2 linked regions of the Rattus norvegicus genome follow. The protein of the gene in region 1 binds, or shares a complex with, the protein of each later gene. Links are inferred from orthologs where the notes say so. Each region holds a gene or a part of one and is shown on either strand. Other genes may lie near its edges.

Evidence for each region.
Region 2: Snrnp40 (region 1) and Snrpd2 share a complex: the UniProt entries of both Homo sapiens proteins name them as parts of the U4/U6-U5 tri-snRNP complex. The link is inferred for Rattus norvegicus from reciprocal best matches to the Homo sapiens genes SNRNP40 and SNRPD2.

Annotation. Positions count from the first base shown.
Region 1 is NC_086023.1:148,008,968-148,018,691, reverse strand, and holds the end of Snrnp40 (U5 small nuclear ribonucleoprotein 40 kDa protein), read right to left. Parts: intron 7,812-9,724; coding exon 7,729-7,811; intron 6,096-7,728; coding exon 6,034-6,095; intron 2,980-6,033; coding exon 2,876-2,979; intron 1,244-2,875; coding exon 1,194-1,243; 3' UTR 760-1,193; downstream 1-759. UniProt on the Homo sapiens protein: Required for pre-mRNA splicing as component of the activated spliceosome. Component of the U5 small nuclear ribonucleoprotein (snRNP) complex and the U4/U6-U5 tri-snRNP complex, building blocks of the spliceosome.
Region 2 is NC_086019.1:87,921,696-87,931,519, reverse strand, and holds Snrpd2 (small nuclear ribonucleoprotein Sm D2), read right to left. Parts: upstream 5,112-9,824; 5' UTR 5,038-5,111; coding exon 5,036-5,037; intron 3,747-5,035; coding exon 3,567-3,746; intron 2,543-3,566; coding exon 2,368-2,542; 3' UTR 2,261-2,367; downstream 1-2,260. Other genes in the region: Qpctl (glutaminyl-peptide cyclotransferase-like protein), read left to right, coding at 5,736-5,945, 6,407-6,550, 7,797-8,078. UniProt on the Homo sapiens protein: Plays a role in pre-mRNA splicing as a core component of the spliceosomal U1, U2, U4 and U5 small nuclear ribonucleoproteins (snRNPs), the building blocks of the spliceosome.

The sequences.
Region 1 (9,724 bases):
TCTACTGGTCTGTGCATTTCTCACAGTGTCAAGGACAGGATGTCTTCTGTCTCTGTCTTCGGCAATGATGACTTTACCTGTCACATAACAGGTGCTTGTTGAGTGACTATGCTCTAAAACCAGGGTAGCACCCTCTCTGTAACATGGGATAAATATGATTCAAGATCATAAGCTGAAAGTCTAAAGCCAAACATACTCAGATAGGAAAACTTCTTGTTTTGAGACAGAAGTTTCCAGTAGAAGGCACATGACAGAATTTCTCACCATCTCTGTCAGAGCAGGAAAATCAGACAAAAAATAGGATCATAAAAAGCTCCAGAAACCGCCATGGCTTAGGCCCATCAGACACCCATCTCCCCTGTGCACTGCTCGGGAAGCAGCGTCCTGGCTGGGGCTGTCACACTCCTGTCTACTCCAGGACCCCAAGCACAGGGCTGCCACTAAGACAAGTGCTCTGGGCAGGGGGCAGAGCAGACAGGCCCTGTTTGTTAGAGATGTGTCCAAACACATGAGCGCCAGGCTCTTCCGGACCTCACTGATCTCCTCTGGATGCTCAGCTTTAGTTAGAGACGCTATTCTCCTGACAGCTATGGAACACAATTACACAACGTCATTTTCACAGGAGTGAAGAAACCTACCAACAGAAAGGGGAGCTCCACACAAGGGCCACCGACGTGTAAGTGGACTGTATATACCTCCCGGACATGTGCTTGCTCTGACTTACAGCAGCCAAGCCACAGAGAAAAGACAACAATAAACCCAAGCCACAAGGTTCTTGTAAAAAGGTATCTGTTTGGATTTTTAATACAAAATGACTCAAACACAGAAACAAATATCATACAAGCTAGTTATTCAATTTAAAAATAAAACAAAAATAAATGCAACTAACAAATTTCAAATTGCCACTCCCTGTCTCCAGCCTAGATTAAAAACAGGAAATATCAAACCAACGTTTGTCTTTCTGAAGAAATCTTATTTTTAAAGAGAAGAAACCAATCCCTGAATCTGGCGGGTGGTACCAGAGGCCACAGTGGTTCTGGTAAATGGGGTACAAGAGGTTGCTGGAATATGGCCATCAGGTCCAGCTGCTTGCTAACGATGGTCATCTGAAGGCAGGTCAGCCCAGACACCATCTGACTCTGGCCAATGGCGTAGTCTGAGCCTCGGGTCACGGGGCCTTCCATTCCACATTTTCACTGGATCTCACCCATGTACAGCCTCTTGTCACTGGATGCTGAGAGGACTGAGAAAGAAAGAGCGAGAGGAGACAATGAAGGCTCAGGACAATCCTCGGGCTCAAGGGCCCTGTGTCAAGAGACAGCTGTGACAAAGAAGAGCAATTGGATTTAGCTGGAATTCTCCTAAACACACAGGGAATTGCAGTCTGGCTTTTCATCCAAGTCCTCTCAAAATCGGGAAGATGGCTGTACACAGGAAACAGCCAGGCTCAAACCCAAGAAAAACACTGTTGATGTCTATGCCAGTCTCTCTCTCTCTCTCTCTCTCTCTCTCTCTCTCTCTCTCTCTCTCTCTCTCACACACACACACACATGCATGCGTCCACCTATGTGTTTCTTTGGGGCTGTGGCATTCTCAGACAAGATTTGAGATAGTCTCTCTGTTCAGCCCAGTCTGACCTAGAACCTGCTATGTAGACTGGCTAGCCTTAAACCTCCAGTGAGCCTCCTGCTTTTGCCCACTCAGAGCTGGGATTACAAGTCCCCACCCACCCAGTCAATGTGCTTTATAGAGTCCTGGAGAACACTAACAGGTTTTCTTTAATTGGCTTAGCTAGCTAATCAAATTTAATATAATTTTAATCTAAATATTTACAAACCATTCTTGACTACATACAATCCCTGCCACTCAGAAGAGACAAAAACATGGAGAGACCTGAACTGAGGGGTGACAAAAGGCCTCAGTCTATTCAGTCTTCTTTGAGGTAAGGAACTGATGGCTACCTCACCATCTGGGACAGCAATTCCAAGACTGAACCATAGATGGCAGCAACCCCCCTGAGGCATGTGTCCACTCCAGGCTCGCTCACTCGCTTGCTCATTCATTCATTCATTCATTCATTCATTCATCCATCCATCCATCCATTCATTCATTCAATATAAGTAAGCCCTGTCTTCAGACACACCAGAAGAGGGCGCTGGATCCAATTACACATGGTTGTGAGCTACCTTGTAGGTGTTTGGAATTGAACTCAGGACCTCTGGAAGAGCAGTCAGTGCTCTTAACCACTGAGCCATCTCTCCAGCCCTCCAGGCTCATTATTAATAAGCTGCAACACTGCTTCATACTGACTCTCCCTGAGATCCCCTCCTGTGGTTTAAGTGCTGAGTTCACCTGAAGAACCTGGTATTTGGGAGGCCGAGGTAGGAGAGGTAGGAAGATTACCTCAGATGAGGCCAGCATAGGATACAAAGTGAGCATCAGCTAAGCCAAGGCTACATAGTAAGACCCAGCTAGAGAGACTTTCAGTTTGGCCTAGTAATGGTGGTGCAGGCCTTTAATCCCAGCACTTGGGAGGCAGAGGCAGGCAGATCTCTGAGTTCTAGGACAGTCAGGGCTACACAAAGACACCCTGTCTGGAAAAATTAAAAAGATTCCCAGTTCCATCTGAGCATTCGTATAAAAAGCAACCCCTGGGTTACTCCTGTGCTGGGTCTCCTGTATGCTGTCAACTGCCTTCCTCTGGTCACTGTCACTGTCCCAGCCCCCACATCCCCACACCCCCAAACCCTCAAACCCCAGTGTTAACACTGAATTCACATAACTGACTCCTGCCTGCCTGCCTGCCTCTGTACCCCCAGGGTCCTGGAGAGAGGTCACTTCCCATCTGGAGCAGTCATGGCAGACATGGACTTACTGATGGGCTCATCGGGATGGAAGGCCACCTCATTGATGGAGCCAGCATGACCAGGAAGCTTATACAGGATCCTTCTGCTTGTGGTGTCCCACACGTACACAAACCTGCAAGATGCCACAACAAACAAAGGAAGGTCCCTTAGAAGAGGGTCAGAGCACTTGGGCTGGAAGCAAAATGGAGAACGTTTGCTTACTGAACAATCCTCTGGGCTTTGGAAAACAGGACAACACCAACTGAAACAGAGAATATTTGGGGCTTCAAACCAACCAAACTGAGGCCAGGCAGCAGTGCTGCATGCCTTTAATCCTAGCATTAAGATCTCTGTGAGTTTAAGGGCAGCCTGATATACAGAGTTCGTTCTAGGAAAGCCAGGGCTACACAGGGAAACCCTGTCTCAAAAAACAAACAAGGGCTGGAGAGATGGCTCAGTGGTTAAGAGCACTGGCTACTCTTCCAGAGGTCCTGAGTTCAATTCCCAGCAACCACATGGTGGCTCACAACCATCTGTAAAGAGATCCGATGCCCTCTTCTGGTGTGTCTGAAGACAGCTACAGTGTACTTATATATAATAAATGAATAAATCTTAAAAAAAAAAAGAATGCTAAAAAACAAACAAACCCCAACAAAATAGATACAGTCCATGACTGATTATGCTATTTACAGAATTGACAAAATTCTGAAATCACAGAAAGACTATACCTGCAATCCCAGCACTGGGAAGAGGGAAGCCAGGAGGACTATGGGTTTGAGGCCAGCCTAGAATGTACTGAGATGGTCTAAACCCCTATACTCAACAAATGAACAAGAGTTCATTAGTTATGTCCTGTGCTCTCTCCGTGTGGGCTCCAAATCTGAGTAACACACTTGGAATAGTTGGGTATATTGGCACATGCGTGTAAACCCAGCACTTGGTACAAACAGGCTGCAAGACATGGAATTTAAAGGCCATCCTGGGCTATATAAGACCTAAATAGTCTAGACAGGAGGCAGACCCCATCCCTGCCTCTGAGCTAGTGCTCATGCCCTCTGATGCCTATCTCTGCCACGCACAAGCCACTGTCCCTCACCAGCCCCGCCCCAGGCAGAGGGGAAGGCTGACGGCACTGGAGTCAGAATAGTGGGGGCAAGGTCCACAGCATGGACTCACTGGCCAGCTTGTCAGACAACTGCCTTTCTTTCGTTAGAATAGTGGGGGAGGGGCTGGGGATTTAGCTCAGTGGTAGAGCGCTCGCCTAGGAAGCGCAAGGCCCTGGGTTTGGTCCCCAGCTCCGAAAAAAAGAACCAAAAAAAAAAAAAAGGTGGGGGAAAAAAGGATTCTAGCTTTTTTTTTTTTGGTTCTTTTTTTCGGAGCTGGGGATCGAACCCAGGACCTTGCGCTTCCTAGGCAAGCGCTCTACCACTGAGCCAAATCCCCAACCCCTGGATTCTAACTTTTTGAGAACAAGAATATACGCAAAGTGGCACGCAGAATTAGTGACTGCTATTGCTAATGTGAGTGTGTTACACAGCCAGAGCCAATGAAGTCATGTGCTGACCTGAATCCTCTTGGCGGCTCAGCCGGTGCCTGTAACAGGGCTGCGGAGGGTTAGAGGGCACAGGGGGAGGTGATCTGTAAGCAGAAGGGGAAACCCACCAGACCCAGGCACAGCTGGAAAGTGGTTTTCTGAGTTGGATATTATCTCTCAAGTTGGCAGAAACCAGCAGAAGCCTAGATCTCCAAGGGTTTACTTCAAGGCCTTGCTCACTCCTCATGGCTGCCAATTACATGCTAAATTTAGAGGGTTCCTTGTCCTCCCCACACGTGGGCATGTCACCATTTGGTAGAAACCAGGTTACTTATACAACAGAACTGACTGCTGACTTTAGGCTATCAGGGTGGCCTGTGAAATCCAGCCAAGCTCAGCAGAGGAGCACGCTTTCCTTCCACCAAGCCATGTGTCCTCTTTAAGGATTGGTCAGAGGAAGAGGAGCAAGAAGACATTGTAAGTCAGAAGATGTGAGCTGGACACGCTAGCTCACTCCTGCTCGGAGTTCAAGGCCAGTCTGCCGTACGCACTGAGTCTGAAGACAGCCAGAGATCCATGATGACACCTTGTCTTGCAAAGTTTCTAAGCATGTCCCCAAAGGGAACCCCTGCTTTCAGGCCTCTACTGTGAACCTCTAGGCGTCACTTACAAGTCCTTCGTCCCTGGCACTCAGAATCTCTACTCCATCAGATTTTCTCCCAAGTACGCAGCACCACAGACACCAGAACCAGCCTGTATCTGACAGGTGAATTCTGCCCTGTTTCCCATTCACAACTAAGGCCTTGAGTCATTCTAAGTTCATACTCGGGAAAGCCTAGTGACTTGGCAGAGATGGACGCTATCTAACCTGCTTCCCTCAGCGACATTGGCACTTTCCACCGAGCCTGGAGCTGATTCTGAATTATCTTTAACATTGACAGCTATGACCAAATGCTGGGTTGATACAAGGGTGGCATTTGATTGTCACCTCTGACCTAGGAATTTGTCCTTGAAACAGCAAGCGCTCAGAATTCAAGCACCAACCAGTACCCTGGGTTTACAGAGGATGTCAAAAGATTGTTCTGACTGTGAGAGCCATTCACAGAGATGCCCCCAATGTCTGTCTAAATGTAAGGAAGAAAAATATGTATAAAAGTTAGATGTATGGAACAAAGAGCAATGTGTCATGCTAAAGGGAGAGAGGGGGAAGGGAGAGGGTGAAGGAGAAGAGAGAGAAAAGGCGAGGGAGCGAACACTGAGAGAGTGCCATGGATAGCTCAGAGAAGGAGCAGAGTGGTTACTGGGAAGACAGTCTAGAGAGCACTGAGGGAGGTGTGAGAGACCCTGGAGAAGAATGGCAGGAGGGACAGCCTCTAATGTATTACATGACGGGAAGGAGAAGGCAGAGACACTAGGAAGATTATCAGTCTCCAACAGATATAAACACAGTCGACTCTCTAGGCCTAAAAACAAACAGACAGAAAACTACGTGTGTCCAACATGGGCTCTAAACCATTTGTCTTCACACGGCTTCACTTCTGAGAGCCCCTCAGTCACGTGGAAAGCTGTACCTCTGTTGTCTTCACAGTTAGGCATTAGGTGTGGGACCCGCATAGCCACCCCATTCTCCACCTCATACCCAGGGACCCTTACCTGTCTGCTGAGCCAGCTGCTATCTTGCTTCCGTCTGGTGACCAGGAACACCTCAGGAGGTTCTGCAATGAAAAAAGACTCCATGAACAGTTAGTGTGCTAAACCCGTCTCGCTGCACTAGGGGTCAGCTGACTTAATTCCCTACTAGGCTTCAGTATCTCCCAGACGTCATCAGCCATCACACTCCTGCTCAAAACAGCACGCTCTGTAATCTCATTAATTTTTCTTTAAATATTTCCGTATCTTACTTCTAAAAAAAATTCTTATTCATGTATTGGTTTTTCTAGACAGGGTTTTTCTGTGTAACAACATCCTTGACTGTCCTAGAACTCACTTTGTAGACCAGGTTGGCTTCGAATTCATAAAGATCTGCCTCCCAATTGTTGGGAATAAAAAAAAAAAAAAAGCATATGCCACTATGGCCTGGCCTACCTTATTTATTATCAATCTAAGTGTATTATTTTAGGTAATCTGTCTGCAAGTATGTTTGGGCATCACATGTGTGCCCAGCAACGGAGGAGGCCAGAAACAGGCATCATATCCCCTGGGACTGGAGTTACAGACAATTATGTTCTGTGGTTACCAGGAATCAAACCCTGGTCCCCTGAGAGGGCAGTCAGTGCTTTTAACTGCTGAGGCAACTCTCAGGCCTGCTTTGTAATCTTATAATACATAAAACTAGATGCAGAAATGTTTGACCCGGGTTGGGGATTTAGCTCAGCGGTAGAGCGCTTGCCTAGCAAACACGAGGCCCTGGGTTCGGTCCCCAGCTCCGGGGGGGGGGGGGGGATGATGGTTGACCCTAGTTATTAAGGACAAATCTGTCCATAAAAATTTGTTCTGTCTTTTTTTTTTTTTTTTTTTTTTGCGGAGCTGGGGATCGAACCCAGGGCCTTGCGCTTCCTAGGCAAGCGCTCTACCACTGAGCTAAATCCCCAACCCCCTTGTTCTGTCTTTAAATGAAGGCTCATAGCTTCACTTAACTTGATTCTATTAAAATATTTTTAAAATTTTATCTTGTTTTTATTTTTCTTTGCTGTTTATCTTGAAGGAAAAAACAAACAAACAACAACAAAATCCCCACCAAACCCAATAGAAATAAAATTTATTTATAAAATAAAGCAGTATGGGTAAGTTTGCAAAAGGAAACCACTGACATCTCTTAAGTAGCTCTCTGACAAGGAAGCTGCCTCCAGAAGAGCTGCCCAGGACACATTGGAGAAAACGATCCTGAACTGGAGCCATCATGCTAGGAGGGGAACAGACACAGACCAGGGCTCTGACAGCTGGTATCTAGGTAACAGCAATGGGGGCCTGGGCCACAGACAGTAACTTACAGGATCGAGATTCCCAAGGGATAAGGCCAGAAATGAAAGCCCTGTCAGGGAGGTGCTGAAGACAAGTCTAGGAATGAATGGGCCCCAGTCTGGCAACCCGTGAGACTGCCTTCTCTAATACACTCTATTAATTTCGCTTCTGGTAAGAAGAGCTGTGAGCCCACCATGGGGGCAGCTCTTGTAATCTGAGCACATGGGAAGCTGGGCAGGAGGGAGGGCAGCTTTGATGAAGAATGGCTACTATTACCAGACTTAACTCATTCATAGTGCGTCAACAACTCTATCCTGAGCATCACTTCAAATACTTCTTCAGATCAAACGCACAGTAAAACCAACCCCCAAGGCAAGTCCTACTCACCTTTTCAAAGTTGTGGACATTTCCTTGAAATATCTTCACACATCTCTCTTTGGGAGCAAATGGCCGGACATCCCAGACACGCACTACAAAGCAAATGGCAAAGCAGTCACGCTACAAACACACGGAGCCAGCAGCTCCTAGGTCAGTAACAAATGCTGTCTTCTGGGGAGGAGGCCCCATGTGACTCTTCCCTTCTCCTGTGGGAACAATCTACACTAAAGCTGGGCTGCCAGGGCCATCCTTCTCACTAAGTTAAGGGCGCAGAGGAGAGCGGAGGAAGCAGGAGGGAGGACAACACAGTTGGGATTGCAACTGAATATAGTTAGATCTGCCTGTCAAACACGCGTGCGCGCGCACACACACACGCGCGTGCGCGCGCACACACACACGCGCACACACACACATGCATGCATGCACGCACGCACGCACGCACGCACGCACGCACGCACCATTTTTTGGGGGTGGGAAATGAGGCAGGAGGTTCAATATAAATGAGACTTTAAGGTCTCCCTGGATCTTTTTTTTTAATATTTTAATATTTTATTTATTTATTATATATGAGTACACTGTAGCTGCCTTTAGACACACCAGACAAGGGCATCAGATCTCATTACAGATGGTTGTGAGCCACCATGTGGTTGCTGGGATTTGAACTCAGGACCTTGGGAAGAGCAGTCTGTGCTCTTAACCACTGAGCCATCTCTCCAGCCCTCCCTGGATCTTAAAACACCTAAAATGAAAAAATAGTTCCCAAATGATCTCTGACAGTTTACAGTCATATCCAGCAAAGCTTCAATATGGCAATAAATTTTTTTTAATTAAAAACAACAACAACAAAAAAAGTTCTGTGGCTAAAGAGACAGCCTGGTGCTTAAGAACACTTGTCGATCTTGCAGAGGACCTGGGTCCAGTTCTCGACACCCACGTGGTGACTTACAGCCACCCACCTGTAACTCAGTTCCAGGAGGTCCAGTCCCCTTCTGACCTCTAAGGGCATCAGGCACACATACATGGGAGCACGTAAATCCATGAGGGCAAACATTTGTACACATTGAATAAAAAGAAAAAATATTTTCGGGATACAATGTGAGCACATGCTTAGGTATATTCCTGTGTGGAGATATCAGAGGCTAGACTCCTTGCCTTTCTTTCTTTCTCTCTCTCTCTCTTTTTCAGACATGGTCTCATTCTGCAGCATTCCATGGCCTGGAACGCTGTATGTCAGAGGTTCTCAACCTGTGGGTCTAGATCCCTTTGACAAACTTCTATCTCCAAAAATATTTAATTTCTAGTCATAACAGTAACAGAATTGTAGTTGTGAAGTAGCAACAAAAAAAACTTTCCAGGTCACCACAGCACAGGAACTGTAGTAAAGGTCGTAGCACTGCCTTATGTAGATCAATGAGGCTAACCTTAAACTCACAGAGTTCTGCTTCCCAAGTGCTGGGGTTAAAGGTGAACACTGTGCTCAGCTTCTACCTTATTTTTTGAAACAGGGTTCACTGAGCCTAAAACACTCTGCGCTGCTAGACTGGCTGCCCAGGGAGCCCCCAGGGAACCCCAGGGAATCCCTTGCAGCTGGGATTACAGATGTCTGAACTCAGGTCCTCAGGTCTGAACAGCAGGCACTTTACTGAGTCATCTCCCTTAGCCTCCACCGACTGCTGTGAAGAAGTCGGTAAAACCCAACTTCTCCTTCCCTTTCACTTGATAGGCACTGACAGAAACCATCCTAGTGAGATTAGTGTGTATGACACTGTCCTTCCTCCCCAAGACACACGCACTGCTCCCCATCCCCAGTACATGCAAACACTGTCCCCATTCCCAGTTGCTGGGGATTTAATCCAGGGCCTCACGTACACCAGGCAAGTGCTCAACCATACACTCGTGCCTTAGAAAACACGAACTCAATCTAATTTTGAATCTTATATAGAAATATGGGTAATCCAGGTAAAGTGAGAATACATCTTGGCTTCCTGCTCTGCAAAATTAAGAA
Region 2 (9,824 bases), on another chromosome or scaffold:
GATTCAGGGAGACGAGGCAGGGACTATAGCCTGAGCCTGTGACCTGAAGGCTCAGTCCAGCCCTGTTCCTGGGCGAGGTAAATGGGCTTCAGGGAAGCTGAAGGGACTGACATTGCCCACCAGCCTGGCAGCACAGCTTACAATTTTACTTTTTATTACTTATTTGGGCTTTTTGAGACGGGGTCTCTCACTGTAGTCTTGGCTATGGAAAACACACAAGCTGTGAAGGCCCAGCAGCCACGTTGAGCTCCGACTGCTGCTCTTTAGGTCACCACAGAGTGGCCGTTGTCTTCCTCCATGGCACTGTCGCCCACTTGCCTGGCAAGAGACCAACTCCCTTTCTCTCCCTTCCCAGAATGCAGAGGGAGGGCTGCAGCTCTTGTGGATTGGGAGGCTCTGATCCTAGGTTCTCAGTGCAGACGGAGCTAAGTGAAGAGCGGAGCTGCGTCCCTGCCTGGCCCTGCTTCTCCTCAGCACTAGAGCCCCAAGGAGCGGGGAGGGCAGGTGCTCACCCTCACTGGGCCAGCATCATGGGTGCCTATCAAATGGGAAGGGGGGGGGGGGGCAGGCTAGCTCCTTTCCGAATGTGCTTTCAATGGAATCTTTTTGAGATGACCTCACTGTGCCTGGCTCACCAGGTAAACCCAGGCTGGTCTTGAACTTGTAGCAATCCTGCCTCAGTCTCTCAAGCTGTGGGGATCTCGGGTACACTCATGTCTGCTTTCATTTACTTGTTTTTGAGGAAGGGTTTCTCTGTGTAGCCCTGGCTGTCTTGGAACTCACTCTGTAGACCAGGCTGGCCTCACAAAGACTTCCCTGCCTCTGCTTCTGCCTCCTGAGTGCTGGGATCAAATGCATGCCCCTGGCATACAGATCTGCTTTTAATCTATGTGTATTTGTGTGCAAGTGCCCAAGGAAGCAAGAGCACTGGATCCCCCTGGCTTTGTAGTTAAAGCCAGGTATGGGTGCTAGGCATTAAACTTGGTAGCCACTGAGCCATTTCATCAGCCCTGCCTGTCTATCTGAATGTAGCACCATTATTTTCTCACTTGGGTGACTTTGGGACATGTTAATGCCCTTCCTGAATCTCAATGATTTCAACTGAATGAGCTGGATGGCTGTGGAGACATAGGCCTGTCATCCGAGCTGCTTGGAAGACCATGGCAGGATTACAAGCTCAAGGCCAGCCCTAGAAACTTCCTAAGAGATTCCCTGTCTAGTGGAAGAACTGGGGAGGTGGCTCAGTGGTTAGAGGAGCATTTGCTATATAAGCAAGAGACCCTGAATTCGAATCTGTAGCATGATGTGGAGACAGGATTACTGGAGGTTGCTGGGTGCCAGCCTAGTTCTGTTCAATGAGACTCTGTCAAGGGGATCAAAGGAGTGTCAGACGACACCTAACACTGTCCTTGTGCATGTATACAAGTGAATGGAGGGCTGCGGAGAGCTTGCCAAGCATGAGACCCTAGTCTCAGTCCCCAGGACCACAAAAGAACGAAGAGAGAAGAGAGGGTGGGAGAGATCTAGAGCCCACAGCAGAGCTGTTCTGGCAGTTGCTCAGGAACGTGTGCCTGAACAACCAAGCACGGCAGTTTTCTCTGCTGCAGGCTTCACAGCTCTGCACAGGGGCTTACCGGCTACCACTGACTGTGACTGCCACAGTTCAGGAGGACAGCTAAGCTAGAGGGTGGTGGCTCACGCCTTTAATCGCAGCACCCGGGAGGCAAAGGCAGGTGGAATCTCTGAGTTTGAGGACAGCCTGGTCTACAGAGTGAGTTCCAAAGCACTCGCTGCTCTTGTTTCCTTCCCAGCACCCACATGGCTGCTCACACGTAACTAGGGGAGTCCAACCCTCCTCCCGGGCCCCCTATGGGCACAGAGAACAGACGTATCCAGACCAGACACCCATACTGCTTTGTATGCATTTAAGGAGGGCAGATAATGCTGACCTCTAGCCCAGATCTCCTGAATTTCGTGTTTAGAATTACCTGAGAGGGCAGGGACAGAGATACAGATGGACAGAGTAGTGGGTAGGACAGAGGGCCCTGTGTACAGTCCAGAAAACAGCAAGGTCCTTCAACAAGCCCCTTAAGTAGGACCCCCTTTCTCACCTGTATCCGCACCCCGCCACACAATACACAAAAGTCAAATTTGGCGGTCTACTTGGCAGTCAGGGCAGTCATATGCCCCAGCACTCAGAGGCCCTGTCCTAGTGCCTCTCTCTCTAAGACCCAAGGGCAGAGAAGACCACTAGAAAACATAAAAAACAAAAAGCACAGGGTTTTATTTCTAGCTCATTGGGCAGGGCTCTGCGGGACTTGGCTGGGCAGGGAGCAGGCTCTCAGCGGGCTGAGGCTGGCCTCTAGTTTACTTGCCAGCGATGAGCGGGTTCCGCAGCACCACAATGACTGAGTCCCCGCGCAGGAACATCTTGGAGATGTAGCGGTCCTTGTTGACAGGCTTGGACTTCTTCTTGCCCTTGCCGCTCTTGGGGACCTCAGTCCACATCTCCTTCACATTTTCCAGCACCATGTTGCAGTGCCTGATGGGGTAAAGGGTGGAGGAAAAAGCCAGAGTGAGGGGGACATTCTGAATGTGTGAACCCTCCAGCAGCAGGCATAGGGACGGAGTTCAGGTTCCACAGTGGGGATGGGCAGGCTTCAAGGTGTGATCTCAGCCCCATCTTAAGTGTCCCTTCTGTGCCTCAGTTTCCCCCTTCTTGAAATGGAAACAGTCTACTTCATGGGGCTGATGTGAAGATTGGATGAAAGAAGCACTTAGGACCCCGGTACACAGTAAAGGTCACCAAAATGGCCCTGGCTCTGCAGTTAACTCTAACTCTGAGAGAAGCATTAGCTCCCTCCAAACCTTAAGTTCTGGGGTTAGACATGGTTCCCAACACGTGCACTCCAGTGCCTCATGGCCCTGTCCTCATGCAGGTGGACATGTGCTCACACTTGGATCAGTTCATTCCACGAATGCTTGCTTGAGGACAGTGACGATGAGCAAAGTACAATGCCAGATGTGTAGGACCACGTCACAAGGCAACTTCCATGCTAACTAAAACAAGGCAGGAGGGTATGCTTCGCCCCTGTAATCCTAGCGCTTGGGAGATGGTAGCAAGAGGATCAGAAGCATAAGGTTAGCCTCTGCTACATCTGTAGCCAGCCCAGGCTACATAGTTAAAGACCCTGCCTCAAAACAAACTAGAAAGCAGTAGAAGATATTTGACATTGATGTCTGGCCTACAGAGGAACAAACCAAACATCTTAATTCCTGTCCCTCCTCCTGCCGGGGATCTGATGACTTCTGAAGGTATTAGACATGTCCACAGTACACAGACAGACTCACCCGCAGACAAAACGCCCAAACACATAAGATAAAAAAAAAAAAGCCAAGCACCCCCACTTTCTAATTTTTTGAGCTAGCTGGGTCTTGCCCTGTGACCCTGGCTGGCTCCAACTGACAGTGATCCCCTTGAGTGCTGAGACTAAAGGCACTTTGTCACCTTGCCCACCTTATTACGACAATTCTTCTCAAATGACCTTCCCCAAGACAATGCCCACCTGTCAAAGGCCTTCACCCGGCCCAGGAGCTTCTTGTTGTTTCGACAGTTAATGAGCACTTGCGTGTTGTTTTTGACCGACTGTGTGAGCACCGAGAGGGGACCTGTGTTGAATTCCTCCTCCTCCCGCTTCTGCAGCTCCTCTGGGGTCATCTCACTCTTGGGTTTATTGAGGAGACTCCTGGATAGAGAACCCGGGGGGTGAGACGGGTTCAGGTTGGAAGCATAAGTGACCAAAGCTACATTGTCCAGTGTCTCCCCAGCCTGGCCCCCAAATGCCCTTCCTGGTACAGTCTTCTCTGGAGGCAGGAGAGACATTTCCAAGTTAGCCTGCTCCAGCTCATTAACCAAACCTCGTCCAGCCACTGTTGACCTTGAATTCTCAATTCTCCTGACTCCATCACCCAAGGTCTGAGATTACAGGGGGCTCACCATCATGCCTGGCACCTGATTCTTTCAAACCTCACTCTGTCGTCTTATCTTGTCATCTGCTTCCATGATATGTCCAAAAATTTGGCCATTTCTCTTCCATCCCACCCCACAACAGTGTCTCCCTGTATAAATAGACCTGCCCCTGGAACTCAGACTTGTCTGTCTCTGCCTCCAGGATACTGGGGTTACATCTAGTCTGTGTGTGGCTGAGGACCAAACCCAGGGCCCACAGTAGGTAAGTACTCTGTCCACTAAGCTAAATCCCCAGCCCAAGTATTGGGCTTTCAATGCCCAATACTTCTGTGCTACCTACTGGTGTTATTTCTTTCCTACTCAATTCTCCATTCACACTCCTGATCATCTAAGACATACTGTATGTACTTGTTTATTACTCTATGGCTTTCCTATTGGATTCTTTTTATAAGCCCTGAGAGATTTTTTTTCCTTGGTAGCAAGGACCTTCTATTTACCATGTGTCTAACTTACAGTCTACATAATATCCGCTCAATGAATAAACCATTGTAGTAGCCTGCTACTCTGACAATCTCTAATTAGGTTCAAAAGTCCTAATTTATCCTGGTTAAGTCCCATACGTCTCTATTTACTATTTCTAATAGTACTTCCTTCTCCGCCAAGCTCTTCATCCATTAAGACCACTTCTATATAAAATTACTATTACTTTTGTAAGCGGACACGCTATGAAGCTGGTCAAGGCTGACCACCAACTAGCGATACTCCTGACTCAGCCTCTCTAGGCTTGGGATTCTAGGCATGTGCCATCAGACTCAGTTTTTCCTTTACGGTTCATTTCCGCAAGCCTCGGTACCTAGAAGAGTCTTACACCCATTATGGAATAAAGCTGTCCCCTCTCCGGAACTCAAGAACCGAGGCCCCATGCCCGTTCTCAAATCCCTCAGAAGACATTATTTTTGCCCGAGAAACTCTACCCTCAGCTATGAGCACCCCATTTCGATTGTTATTTAGCTAAACCGTCCCCCTCCATCTTCGTGTCCCCGCCGAAGCCCGTCCCGGCCTCACATGGTGAAGGTTTCGCTAGCAGATCACTCCCGCCTCCAAGCGCGTTGCTTTAGCCTTTGGAGCACAGCAAGAGAAGGGCGGGACTTCCGTCTCCTGCGGCTGACTTCCGTCGACGCCTGCGCAATCACGACTGTGGGCGTGCCCTGTTACCATAGTGACTCTAAGGCTACGCTCTCCTGCAGAAAATGCCTATAGGGAGGATTTGAAGCCTCTGAGGATCACAATAGGTTGTCTGCTCATGCGGAAAATAAAACGGGGTCTGACTGAAATTGTTTTCCCGCCTAACTGTCTAGTTGGGAGAAGGAAAACGCAACCCGGTTTCCAAAATACCCGCCGACAATTTTCTTGAGGGCATGGCTTCAGGCAAACCAATCGGTTCCTTGTTTTAGGGATGGATGCCGCCCCTTTTTCCTTGAACCACAGTTTCTTGATCGACTTCCGTAAGGGGCGTGGCCCCGCGCCGGGGAAGGTTTCGTATATTCGGACACAGCTCATTGCCTGTTTCTCTCCCGTGGGGGCGGGCCTTAAGGTTTCCGCGCTCCCTTTTGGGTGGTGCGGCGCTTAGGAGAGCCAATCGCAATCGATTGGGGGAGGACGCAGTTACTGTGTTTCTTTATTGGCATTTGTAACCTCCGAGAGGCGAATCTTGGCCTAAACTCAAACCACCCTGCGGGGGGATTGGTTTCAGGGCAAAGCTGCCATGAGTCCGGCCAGCCGCGGGCGGTCTCGGCAGCGGCTCGGGGATCGCGGCCTCATGAAACCACCCTCACTTTCCAAGCGCCGTCTTCTGCCGCGGGTGCAGCTCCTGCCCCTGCTGCTGCTGGCGCTGGCCCTGGGCTTGGCTTTTTATATCGTCTGGAATAGCTGGCACCCTGGGGTTGAGGAGGTATCACGGAGCCGGGATCTGCGGGTAAGCCTTGGCTGGGGCCCAGCCAGCGTCATTTCCCTCTTTCCCTTCATATTGAGTCTCGGGTTAGCGTGGCCTTATCGTTTAGCCCTTGCCGCCTGTGCTATTTCTTTATCCATCACTTGAGCGTATGCCCCTTCCCAACAAAATAAGGTTTCAGGCTTGTTTTATGATTAGACCCCTCTGAAGAGGATGCATCCGCATAGAAACACTGGTAGATCTGAGCTCTGTGCCCAAACCATTTATTTAGAAGTCTCCATCACCCGTTTGCAATTTCTTCGTCAGGACTGCAGTAGGCTGGATCAGATTTGCTTTGAAGATTTCTCCCAATCTAGGAAATCTTTGGATGCTGGAGACTGCATCACCAAGAAGAATCAGCATTCCTAGTGGGCAACCGCGTCCGGGATAAGTTGGGAATGGGATCTTTTTCATTTTTCTTTCCCCCATCCCATTTCCCAACCAAGGTCCCGCTGATCGGAAGCCTTTCAGAAGCCAAGCTGCGGCTTGTGGTAGGGCAGCTGGATCCACAGCGTCTCTGGGGAACTTTTCTGCGTCCCTTGTTGATTGTACGACCCCCAGGTAGTCCTGGCAATCTCCAAGTGAGAAAGGTAAAGGGTTTTATTTTCAACCCCCAACTTCCTTTCCCCAGTCTGTCAGGAAATGGAACTCAGGCACCAAAGATCCCAAAACAGCCAGGAGGCAGACTAGGGATCTGATGGGGGTGGGGGGCAGGGATGGGGAGTGTGTGCGTGTGTTGGGGGTGTGTGTGGGGGAGTAGTGGTGGTGGGTGAACCAGACTAGATTTCTTGGTGGTGCACAAATCCCACACTATACGACCCCCACCAAACTTTTACCCTATACTAGGCAGAAGCAATGTACTGTCTAGTGAGATCAGAACTGATATGATCTCCATTATCAGATGAGGAAACTGAAGTTATTGTATTTTGTCCAAATCCCACAGCTGGTTGAAATTAAAATCCAAGAAGGTTGGCTTCAGAATTAGTGGTATAACATTGCTTTGCTGCCATTCAGATACTGTGTTTAGGATCCACCTTAGTTGGACTAACTTCTTAACCTCTTTGGGACTCAGTTTCCTCATCTTCAAAATGGGGTCAGTGACATCGTCGATTTCATAGGGATCCTAAAAAGCACAGAGTGGGAACTTTTCAAGAGGAAGTGAGAGCATGGCTCCACTTGCTTAGAACTCCTCCAATGTGAGGATGGAGGTGTGGCTCAACGGTAGAAGGCTTGCCTAGGATTCACCAGTGTGTAGCTGTGGCTGTGTAAGCATGCAGGAAATCCTGGGATCCATCCTCAGCACCATGGAGAGAGGCAGGAAGGGGAAAGGGTGGAAGTGAGTTAGTTGAAAGTTGGCCTACTCGTGATTTTGGAAGAATCAACATGAGGGGAGAGAGGGAGAGAGAAGGGAGGGTGCTTGGGTGGGGGTAGGTGGGTGGAGAGAGAAAGAGAGGAGAGAGAGAGAGAACTTTCTCCACACCTGGGTGTGGTGGTGGTCTGGGTCTATATATAATCCTATCACTCTGGAAGCAGAAACATGAGCTGGAGTTCTAGGCCAGCCTAGGCTACACAGCAAGTTGGAGGCTAGCCTGGACTACATAGTGAGAATCTGTCTCAAAATAAGCCATGACAAGTTTTGTTGCTATCAAGAGGTATGGCTCTCCTACACCTGGCACTCAGCCACTTCTCAGCAGAAGCCTATGTCAAGGGACCAACCTAATCCAAAGTGGGACTTTCTAGTCACCCAGACTGCTCTGCGTGGCTCCAGTCACAAGGCCCTTTTCCCTACCTCCTCCCCAGTCCCTGTCCACCCTCCTACCTCTCTCTTGCCAATAGTTCCTGGAGGCTACGTTGCAGTCCCTATCGGCAGGCTGGCACGTGGAACTGGACCCATTCACAGCCTCAACCCCCTTGGGGCCACTGGACTTCGGGAACGTGGTGGCCACCCTTGACCCAGGAGCTGCCCGTCACCTCACCCTCGCCTGCCATTATGACTCTAAGTTCTTCCCTCCTGGGTTACCCCCCTTTGTGGGGGCCACAGATTCAGCCGTGCCCTGTGCCCTGCTTCTGGAGTTAGTCCAGGCCCTTGATGTCATGCTGAGCAGAATCAAGCAGCAGGTGAGGAGTAGGGGAGGGTTGTCTGTCCCTGGCCCACGTCCTCGTTTCCGTCTGTCATTCTTTCCTTTTTTTTTTTTTGATATAGGGCTTTACTAGTATGTAGCCCAAGCTAGCCTTGAACTCAGCCATTCTGCACCGCCCTTCCAAGCGACATGGCAGGTTTGTGCCGCCAGACCTACTGTCATCTAGCCGTGTTTCATGTAGGCTGTACTAACATCAACCTCAAGAGTGAATTTGAACTTGTGACCCTCTTGCCTCCATCTCCCCAGTGCTGTCATTACAGCCGTACATGTACCATGTCTTATTTATGCTATTCTGAACTCTGAGCCCAGGGCTTCACGCATGCTCAGTAAGGCTCTGTCAACTGAGCTACATCCTCAGTCTCCCACAGGGATCTACATCCTAAAAGGCAGATCATGCCCTCCTGTGTCTGGAGACTCTCCCATGGACCCCCATCATATCCTAACCCAAAGCCAGAGGGTGGACCCCACGTGCTCTCCACTCTAGCCACACCCCTTTCGGTGTCCCTCCAATCCAGAGGCTTCATTTCCGCCTCATTAGCATTTGCTGTTTGCCTGTAAAGATCACTTTTTTCCTCATGTATGGCCCTCCTTCCCACCCTCACTCCTGGCAAAACTCTCTTTTGTAAAGAATACTTTCAGACCTCACCTCTCCCTGTCCCCCAAGTAACTTCCCGGTTACTGCCCATTCCTTATGGTGCTGATGAAATTACTCGTTTTTCTCTAATCTCAGTATGTCCCACGATGCAGACCTGGCTTCTTCTCCTTCTGGTTATGTCTCCCTGGGTCAGAATAAAGTTGGACATTAGTAAAAATCTGTGGAATGAATGAAAACACATTTCATCAAGTGTCTCTCTTCCTCAGACCCTTTTTTCTGGCTTCCCAGTGCTTCTGTTATAAAACAAGGCCCGAAAATTGTGGATCTTCCTAACCCCTCTCTCTGCCCTCCTCTCAAAGCCCTCTGGCCCCAGCTCTGGTCCAGGCCTTCCCCGTGCCTGGGAATTCTGTTCGCTTTTTGCTAGGTCACGTCCCATCAACTCACTCTCAGTGCAAACACCCCTGTCCAGTAGAGCCAGCGGCCTCTGCCAGCCAGATCAACCTCCTGGACCCTCAGAAGCTGGTGATCTTAGAAGCATTTGTCCTAATTGTGATCTGCTGTTTGTGCAGTTCTTCCCTTGTGGGTTGGTCTGTCTGTCTGTCTGTCTATCTTGCCCAGCGAGACTTAAGTAATAATAACCAGAGCTGACTTGTTTTCAGTTCTTAAAGACCTGATTTCAAATGTGATCCTGTGAACAGAGCTGTTATTAGCCCCATTCGTAGTTGAAGAAATTGAGCCAACCCTGGTGGTTCAGGCCTGTAATCCCAGCTCCTCCAGACATAGAGGCCTGAGGAAGCAGAGTTCAAGGCCAGCCTGGGCTATAGAGTGAGCTCAAGGGTAGCCTGGGCAATTGGATGAAAGCCTGCAGGTGTAGCATATGGGCTACACCTAGAGCATTCTCCAGCGGCACAAAAAAAAAAAAAAAGGGAAAACAAAACAAAGCCGGGCATTCTGCTGCACACCTGTAACCCCAGGTAGAGTCGAGGATAGGAGGGATGGAAGGTGCAGGCTAGCTTGGGCTATCCTAGACTTTATCTCAAAACAAAACAACAACAACCAAAAGCAAGTAACTTTATCCAGCAACCACCTACAGTGTGGATTTGAGCCCAGGCCTCTGGCTCAACCAGT